2 linked regions of the Canis lupus familiaris genome follow. The protein of the gene in region 1 interacts with the protein of each later gene in a pairwise test. Links are inferred from orthologs where the notes say so. Each region holds a gene or a part of one and is shown on either strand. Other genes may lie near its edges.

The links. The genes of interacting proteins can lie anywhere in the genome.
Region 2: the proteins of KASH5 (region 1) and GPATCH4 interact in binary tests that used the Homo sapiens proteins (3 or more experiments, as listed by UniProt). The two-hybrid records come from large-scale screens. The link is inferred for Canis lupus familiaris from reciprocal best matches to the Homo sapiens genes KASH5 and GPATCH4.

The regions. Positions count from the first base shown.
Region 1 is NC_049222.1:107,764,082-107,767,672, forward strand, and holds part of KASH5 (protein KASH5), read right to left. Parts: intron 3,128-3,591; coding exon 2,941-3,127; intron 2,451-2,940; coding exon 2,386-2,450; intron 1,160-2,385; coding exon 1,093-1,159; intron 943-1,092; coding exon 691-942; intron 370-690; coding exon 252-369; intron 1-251. UniProt on the Homo sapiens protein: As a component of the LINC (LInker of Nucleoskeleton and Cytoskeleton) complex, involved in the connection between the nuclear lamina and the cytoskeleton.
Region 2 is NC_049228.1:41,340,283-41,344,573, forward strand, and holds the start of GPATCH4 (G patch domain-containing protein 4), read left to right. Parts: upstream 1-1,400; 5' UTR 1,401-1,915; intron 1,916-3,907; 5' UTR 3,908-3,964; coding exon 3,965-4,043; intron 4,044-4,291.

The DNA of each region.
Region 1 (3,591 bases):
AATACATCTTGGATCTGGGTTATTGAGGAGCAAGGCTGGGAGGATGAGTCTGGGAGCCCTGATGGCTCCTGCTGTCCCCCCTGTCATGAGAGGAGTGGCAAATAGATCTGGACCCTAAGTCTTGGGCAAACAGGATCTGGAGTCAGAGAGGAAGCCAGGGTAACTTCTATTCCATGGTCAGGCTCTGTTGCTCAGACTCCAAGAAAGGGGGAAGGAAGAGAGCAGCTTTGTGCCCCTTGCCCAGAACCCACCGTCTGCCGGGCCTGGGCCAGGAGCCTGCGATTCTGTTCCTCCAGGTTCTTGGCCAGAGTCTTCAGGTCCTCCAGCTCCTCATTCACAGCCTTGGCACACTGCAGAGCCTGCTGGGTACTGAGTGGGGGTGGGGCAGGTAGGCCACATGAGAGGGAAACCGTAGAGATAGCTCCACTCAAGAAAGCGGGAAGTAACAGAGAAAATCCTAGACAGAGACCTAGGGGTTGGGTACAGAGATCCAGAGGGAAAGGAGGGGAGGAATTTGGTGCAGGGGACAGAGACCCAGTTTCTACCTAAAAGACTAAGGGGGTGGGACAGAAAGAGGAAGTGCAGAAAGGGACAGTGTGGGGTCACAGACAGGGCAGGAAGTGCAGGGAGAACACATGGAAAGCGAGCTGAGTAGGGCTGCGGTAAGAGGGACACAGGCCCCTGGCCCACCTGCGAAGTTGCCTGCGCAGGGCTGTGATCTCCTCGCCCAGGCGTGTGGCTCCCTCTTCAGCTGTCTCCACGCTGCGCTGGAGCTTGGCGTTCTCCCCAGCCAGCCTGCGGTTGCTGAGCTCCAGGTCCTCCAGGCTGCTCAGCAGGTCAGCTGTGGCGGGCCTGAGGTCAGGGAAGGGCTGGTCACAGGCCACAACCCTCCACCTTCCCAGGCGGGGTAGGGGGTGGCTGCAGTGGGGAGATGAGGCTCTTCTGGAGAAAGAGAAACAATAGAGAGACTGCCCCGCTCTCTGGGAGCATGGCCCATCCCATCCCTCACCCACTCCGCAAGGACCCCAAGCTCTAAGGGTGGAGGCTGGAGGGCGTGGGCAGTGGGGAAGGGAGGTGGGGGGGCATTGGTACATCTCAGGTCTGGGGTCTTCGCCTCCGAAGCTCTCCAAGTTGGCTGGTTCCTCGGCTTCTGGGCATCCTGGAGGGAGACAGACAGAGGGTGGTAGGCTCCTGGTGACCTTAGGCGGTGGGGCCCCCCCAGGTTGCGGCCTTGGCGCCCCCCCAGGTTGCGGCCTTGGCCTCCACTAGCCTCACCCTTACATTTGCCCTGGGTCATCTCATCTGCCCCTGGGGCTATGGTTACATCCACTATCTGAAAGGCCTCTTGTTCATTGGTACCCTGAGCTCAAGCTGGATCTTTCTCATAGCCCTGGATTCACCACACCTGACATGGGCGGTGGCAGCCCCTCAACTGCCCTGAAACCTGTTCCTCTTCCTGGTTTCCCTCCCACCCAGCCACCCAGCCACCCAGCCACAGGGCTGTCCTCCCTCCCTCGCTCCTCCTCATCCCCACAGTCCATTGGAGTCCAGGCCCTGACCCCTCCTCCCTGACTCTGCTCCACTCTCTTGGCTCAGGTTTCTCCTTCTCCTCCTGGACCCACAACCTCCTCCCCAGCCTTCACATCCTGACCTTCCCCCTACTTGGGAGGGGTGTTATCTCAACCGGAGTTTACCTGCCCCTCCCATGGCCCCCCAAGCCCAAAAGGAAGAGGTTCAAGGGAATGTCAAGAAAACTGTACATGTAGATTTGCTTTTGTTTTGTTTTTGTAAGGTATAAGGGGAGAGCTTTTTCTATGGAGCACCTGCTACATGTGAGGCCCTAGGGATAAAATTGGGAACAGCTCAACTAACCAAATAGCAGGGCAAGTGACTCAATCAGATGGTCAGATTTCTCCAGGAAAGACAGGCAGTCCTGTGAGTGAGCCTGGACAGCCAGGGACCTTAGCCTGGGGCATCCCAGGGCTTCCCTAGGTGGGGCTTCCCCAGCTGTGGGAAGTTTTAGGGAGAATCGCAGAAGCGAAAGACCCTGGAGGGCAGGTAGGCCTGTGGGATCAAAGACTAGAGAGTAGACAGGAGCCCATTATGCTGACAAGGACAGGTGGGCCGGGGCTCCCTGGCCTCTATGACAGGGGTGCAGTTAGGAGGAGGACTTGGAACCAGCCCTGAAGAAAAAAAAAACCCAAAGCTCAGGGACGGTGGGGGAGGCAGCCATAGAGATGCCTGGAAGGCCAAACTCACAGCTCCAGACTAGAGCAAATGTTCCAGGGGTCCCACCCCATGCCCCTGGCTCTGTCCCCTGGTGGGAAGTCCCCCCACTGTCTGACCCTGGGCCTGCCTGCTTTATTCTATATATGGTAGTCTCACCAGATGGCGGTTGCTGGGAGGTCAGGGCCCCCTCAAAGGCTGTCTCCTCTTCCAGCTCTAATCCCCTGTATCAAAGGGATGAGGCTTAGAGCCCCCTGCAGCCACCCCCAATCCTGCTTGGCCTCGCTTCGCAGGGAGGGTTGCTGGTGGCAGGAGGGGCCGAGTCAGGTGAGAGCAAGAGCATTGAGAGCCCCACCATGGGGAGGAAGGTAAGGCCAGATGGCAGGAACCCAGGGCCAGATGGAAGAACAGAAGAGGGCAAGGACTGGGTTTGGAGAAGGGGTGGGGAGAGGCCTCTGCCGGCCCCCCAGCACCCTCATTCCTCCCCCTTCCAGTCCCTTTTATTTCTGCCTCCCCCCATCGCAGGAACTTTGTCTTCAGACCCTCCACCCCATCCTCCCAACCCCATCTCTTCACTTTTCTCTCCTTCTCAGTCTCCTTCAAACTACAGTAGGCCTCTTTGCCCAAAGGGTGCTGGCTGCAGTAAGCAGGTATGAGGTTAGATCTTAGGAAGGACTTCCGGGGGTGGGGAGGGCTAGAGGTGCAGAGACCTACCCATCCAACTGACAGGCAGCGATCCAGTCTCGCATGACGGCAAGGAAGGTGTCCAAGTCCACAGTGGCCTGAGGACCCTCCCCATTGGGGTCCAGGTTGCAGGCCAGTGTTCGGAGGCGTGTATCCTGGGGGCCACGGCCTGTCACAGCCTCCAGGTAGGCTAGCACATGGGTCACAGCCACAATGCCTGGGGACAGACCATGATGTGAGGGATTCTGGGGCAGGTGGGGGGTAGGGACAGGTGATAGCTTGAAAGTAGGACACCAGTGGCTGGGCTGGAGCCCCCCCCCACAATCCCCCCAGCACCATGGCTTAACAGAGACATTTTGGGCAAGTCTTTCCTCTCCTCTGAGTCAACCTTTTCACCTGGAAATGGGAGCCCAGCCATCCTCACTCACAAGGTAGACCAGAGAGGACCTGCTGTGCCCTATCAGGCTTAAGGGGGCTGCCCTCTCTCCCTCTCCCCAGGCCCTATTCCATTAATGTCCTTGCCCTGAATGGCCTCCATCCCTTTCCCCTACTTCCTTCCCAAAGCTTCGCACAATCACCCAGCTCATCCTGCAGGCCCCCCAAGAAAGGTTCCTAGCCCATCCCTCTCTCTAAGGCTCCCCAGTTTCCAGCTGCCCCCAATCCCTTATTATTCTGTGTGTC
Region 2 (4,291 bases), on another chromosome or scaffold:
GAAGCAGGCTCCATGCAGAAAGCCTGATGTGGGACTCGATCCCGGATCTCCAGGATCACACCCTGGGCTGCAGGCAGCACTAAACCGCTGCGCCACCAGGGCTGGCCAAGAAGTCCTTTAATAAATGCTTCTTGAATTAGAGAATCAGGCAGAACAAGGAGCTCATGACTCTAGGCCAGACCAGGAACCTTGAGTCAGAGAATTGTGGCTACTAGGTTTGTGGGTGGCCTGTAAAGAGTGCTAAACAGAAACTGTGAACTGGAAGGGGCCCCCGAGGTTGCCTCATTCTGGAGCTTTCAAACCTCTTCTATGACCACAATATGATACGTGACATTAGATAGGCAGAGGGAACAGAAAAGGTGGAGGGGAACATGGTGGAAATGGGCCCAGTCTGTGGAATTCCCTCAGCAGCCTGAAACACCACGATAAGGTCAAGTTTGTAAAAATGATTGAACAAGTCCAGTATTCTGATTTTACAGACCAGGGAAAGGGTACTCTGGAGAAGTGACTTGTTCAAGGTCTCACAATTAGTGGTGGAGTGGGAAAAGGACTCAGATGTGACTCCCACTCAGTGTTCCCAGACTGAACCAGACCCTGAGGAGTACCTTCCAAGCATCCACCATCCCAGATGCATGAAGAATTCCACTAAGCAAGCTCCATGGTTTAAACCAGCGTCCCCATGCAGTGTATTTTAAAAGTAAAGTTAGGGGCATTGGGTGGTTGAGTCGGTTAAGCCTCAGATTCTTGATTTTGATTTGGTCATGATTGCAGGGTCTTCAGATGGAGCCCCAGGTCGGCACCACTGGGCATGGAGCCTGCTTGGGATTCTTTCTCTCCCTCTCCTCCTCCCCTCTCTCTAAATATAAATAGGGGCTCCTGGGTGGCTCAGTCGGTAGTGTCTGCTTTACCCTCAGGTCATGATCCCCACGTGGCTAGCTCTCCGTTTTTTGGGGGGGGGAGTCGGCTTCTGCCTCACCCTCTGCCTGCCGCTCAGCCTGCTTGTGCTCTCTGGTGAATGAGTGAATTTTACAGGAAAAATTAGATGTGACAAACTGAGTAATGTGGCAAAGCTTTCCCGGGAAATGCCACTTTTCCTTTTCGCAGTTCCAGGAGTATGCGCTTCCGTTACCGGAAATCCTGAGATAGGGAGCTGGTGTGTGTGGGGGGTGTTCAGGTGTTAGTTCTTCGGTGGTGCGCGAGGCTGAGGTACAGTTTGTGTGCAGGCGGCATGTGCAACTCCTTAGCGGAGCCTCACACCAGGCAAGTGCAAGGTCCTCAGCCGGCCCCCAACGGCCGGGATCCGCCCTAGCTAGCTCCAGCCCTCAACCCCGGCCCTGCAGCCCCACGCAGCGTCTCCGTGGACCCCGCCAAAGCAGGTCCGCCCGAGTGAGGGCGCGCGTCTTCCGCATCTTCGCAGCACCAGTTCCAACCCGGCAGCTGCCCCCACGGGGTGATGAACCTACTGCAACCGCCGAACGACCGTCCCCGGGCTGAGTATCCATCCCCGCAAACTACCCCCGAGGGGCCGCTTCTTCGCCGCCCGTCGACCCGCCCAGGCAGCCTTGCGCGCTGCCTGGAGCTTCCTTCCCCAGCTCTGGGACCAGGACTAGCTCAGCGTTGCAGCCAGTGCTGCGCTCGGCGTCCCGAGGGCTGGCCAAGACGATTCCCTCGCATCCCGGGGGCTGCAAGCTAACCGGAAATAGAACCGCCCCGGACCCCAGGAAACTGGCGTTCGCGGGCGAGCTTCCGCCACATCCGCTGAGGACAGAGCGCCTCCCCCACGCCTGGACTTCCGGGTCCACGTGCGCCTCTATGGTGTCCGCAGCCTAGAGGGACCGACCGGCACTTCCGGGAAGATGGCGGCGCACAGAACGGGCGACGCACGTGTTCGCGCGGAGAGGGCCCCGCGGTGACGGTAAGTGGCTACTGCGCCCCGAACGGAGTCAGTCGGAGCCTGGGCTCAGGAGTGAAGGCGGGGCAGGACAGTGTCCTTGGCCGTTGGAACTACGGCATGAGGAGGGAGGCCAGGGTCGGGGTAGCGGCCCTTTGGAAGCGCTGTCAGATGGGTGGTCCTGGGACCCTTTTCCAGAAAACTCAGGTTGATCAGAAAGGGGACGGTTCCAGAGAACGCGCTCGCAGCCTTCCCGGGCCCGCGGGGCACCGCGTGGGGCCTGGTTGCTTCTGTACAATTACTGTGGGCAGTCAGCTGAAGCCGCCCGGATCTGGGTCGTACCGCTGAGCGCATTCCACTCCTGCATTAAGTGCACGGGGTTGCGGAGTAAAGCCCGACCCTGATGCGGGGCGTGTAGTTCCGAATGACTGCAGTGGTAAACCTCAAGGCGGGCAGCGCGAAGAGCTGTGAGAGACCAGTTCTGGGATGCCTGAGATCCTGGATCTGCAACTTGCCAGCTCTTTGCTTTGGGCAAATAATAAACTTATCTGTGATTTCTTCTGTTAAGTGTCGGTAATAATATTTCCTAAGGGGACTGTTGGGAGGATGAAATCAGACGATCTGTGTAAAGAGGTTAGCAGGCTGGCATTGAGTAAATGACTTTTAGACACTGTTGTTATTACGAAGATCTGGGGGCTGATGGATGAGAGATAACTTCCGGGAGGAGGCCGAGTTTTGAGGCGCCCTTAAAAGGCCCCAGTGTTCGAATTTTACATTTCTTAAAATTCAAGAAGTAAGATAGAGCAGTTTCTTCGCTTGGCTTTTTGTTGGGATTCTCAAGGTACCTGGTTTTTGGGTGATCGTTCTTCATAGTAGAAATGTGAACAGAAATATAAGTCATCCTGAATTTGCCTGCTCTAAATACCAAGCCAGAATGGGCAGCATTCTTAAGCCTATACATATATTTAGGAGAGGTGACTTCAGCTGATGTGGCTGATTAATATCATGTTCACTGGGCCTTCTTAAACACAAATGCAAGTTTTACCCTAAAGAATTGTCACATTGGGAGGCTTAGGGTTACTCCACTAGTGCCATTAATCCTTAAAAATGGTCTGCAATCCCTGTGATGAGTTACCTTAATACAAGTTAACTTTAGTGAGTTAAGTCAGCAGTGGTGGTCTTAGTTTTGTGTGTCTCGTGTGATAAGCTGGATAATGCCATTCTGGGCTCCCAAAGGAGAAGCGCCTAGATGACTAGTAATTGTGATGGGATGGAGGCCTCGTTGGAGGTGGGCAACCTGGGCTTGTATTCCGGCTCCATCTCTTATTAGCTATGTGACGCAGGCTTTGTTTTCTTTGCTTGTAAAGTAAAGGTAATTGTTATCCACAGGACTATCAGGATTAAATAAGACAATACAACAGTATGTGTAATCAATCTGTGATGCATGAAATGATCAGTGAGATGGACAGTTTCAAAAGGGGTGTTCCAATAAGAGTGAAGAGCAGCAGTGAGGAAGAGGTGCAGAGCCCCCACACTTGAGGTGACAGCCCTGGAGCATCGGTATGAGATAGGGGCTCCGCTGAGTATTCTTATAACTCAGGTTAAAAATCTCTTATCACCTTTTTTTACATGGCAGTAAATCTAGGGAGCTGTTAACCATGTCGTGGCAAAGAGCAGGGCTGTGCCGGCAGGCCATCTGGTTGACCTGGAGCAAGTCACGTTTCCTCATTTGTGAAGTACGGATGATAATACTTTCCTGAATGCAAAGTTTAGGAACCCTTTCTGGGCTAGGAACATTAAACACTCATGTGGTGAGCTCTCCGTAAATTTGGGTGTTATTAGTAACACCAGTCTTACTTGACTTTTCAACATGCTGATCTCTGTGGTCAGCAGGGAGCTCTCCCAAAGACCAGGCCTCCTCCCTTTGTCTACCCCACACTCAGAAAAGAATTTTTATGAGACCAGTCAGGATGGATTGGATGGACGATTTGGGCATTTTCTCCTTTTCTTTTAAAGGGATGATAATGGCCTCTTCTCTGGTGAGGGCCTGAGGATAGTGACTCTTCTCTCACCATGAGTGCCACCCCAGAGATCAAGAGTCGTGGGATGAAGTTTGCTGAGGAACAGCTGCTAAAGCATGGATGGACACAAGGTCATCCCTGGGGGGCCCCTTCCACATCCCCCCAACTCCCTGTCCACCTTGTGGTCAGGTGAACAGCGTCATCTGGGGCTTACCCGTAGTAGTCCATTCACCTGGAGGAGGAAAAGCGAGTTTAAAGGGCAATTTGCAGAAGACAATTTCTAAGTTTCCGGAAAATGGTTGGGTAGAAGAAATTTGATAGTAGGTCATGAGAGCAAAGTGATCGGGGGGATAGGGGAGGGAGGAAGGGTCATGACTTC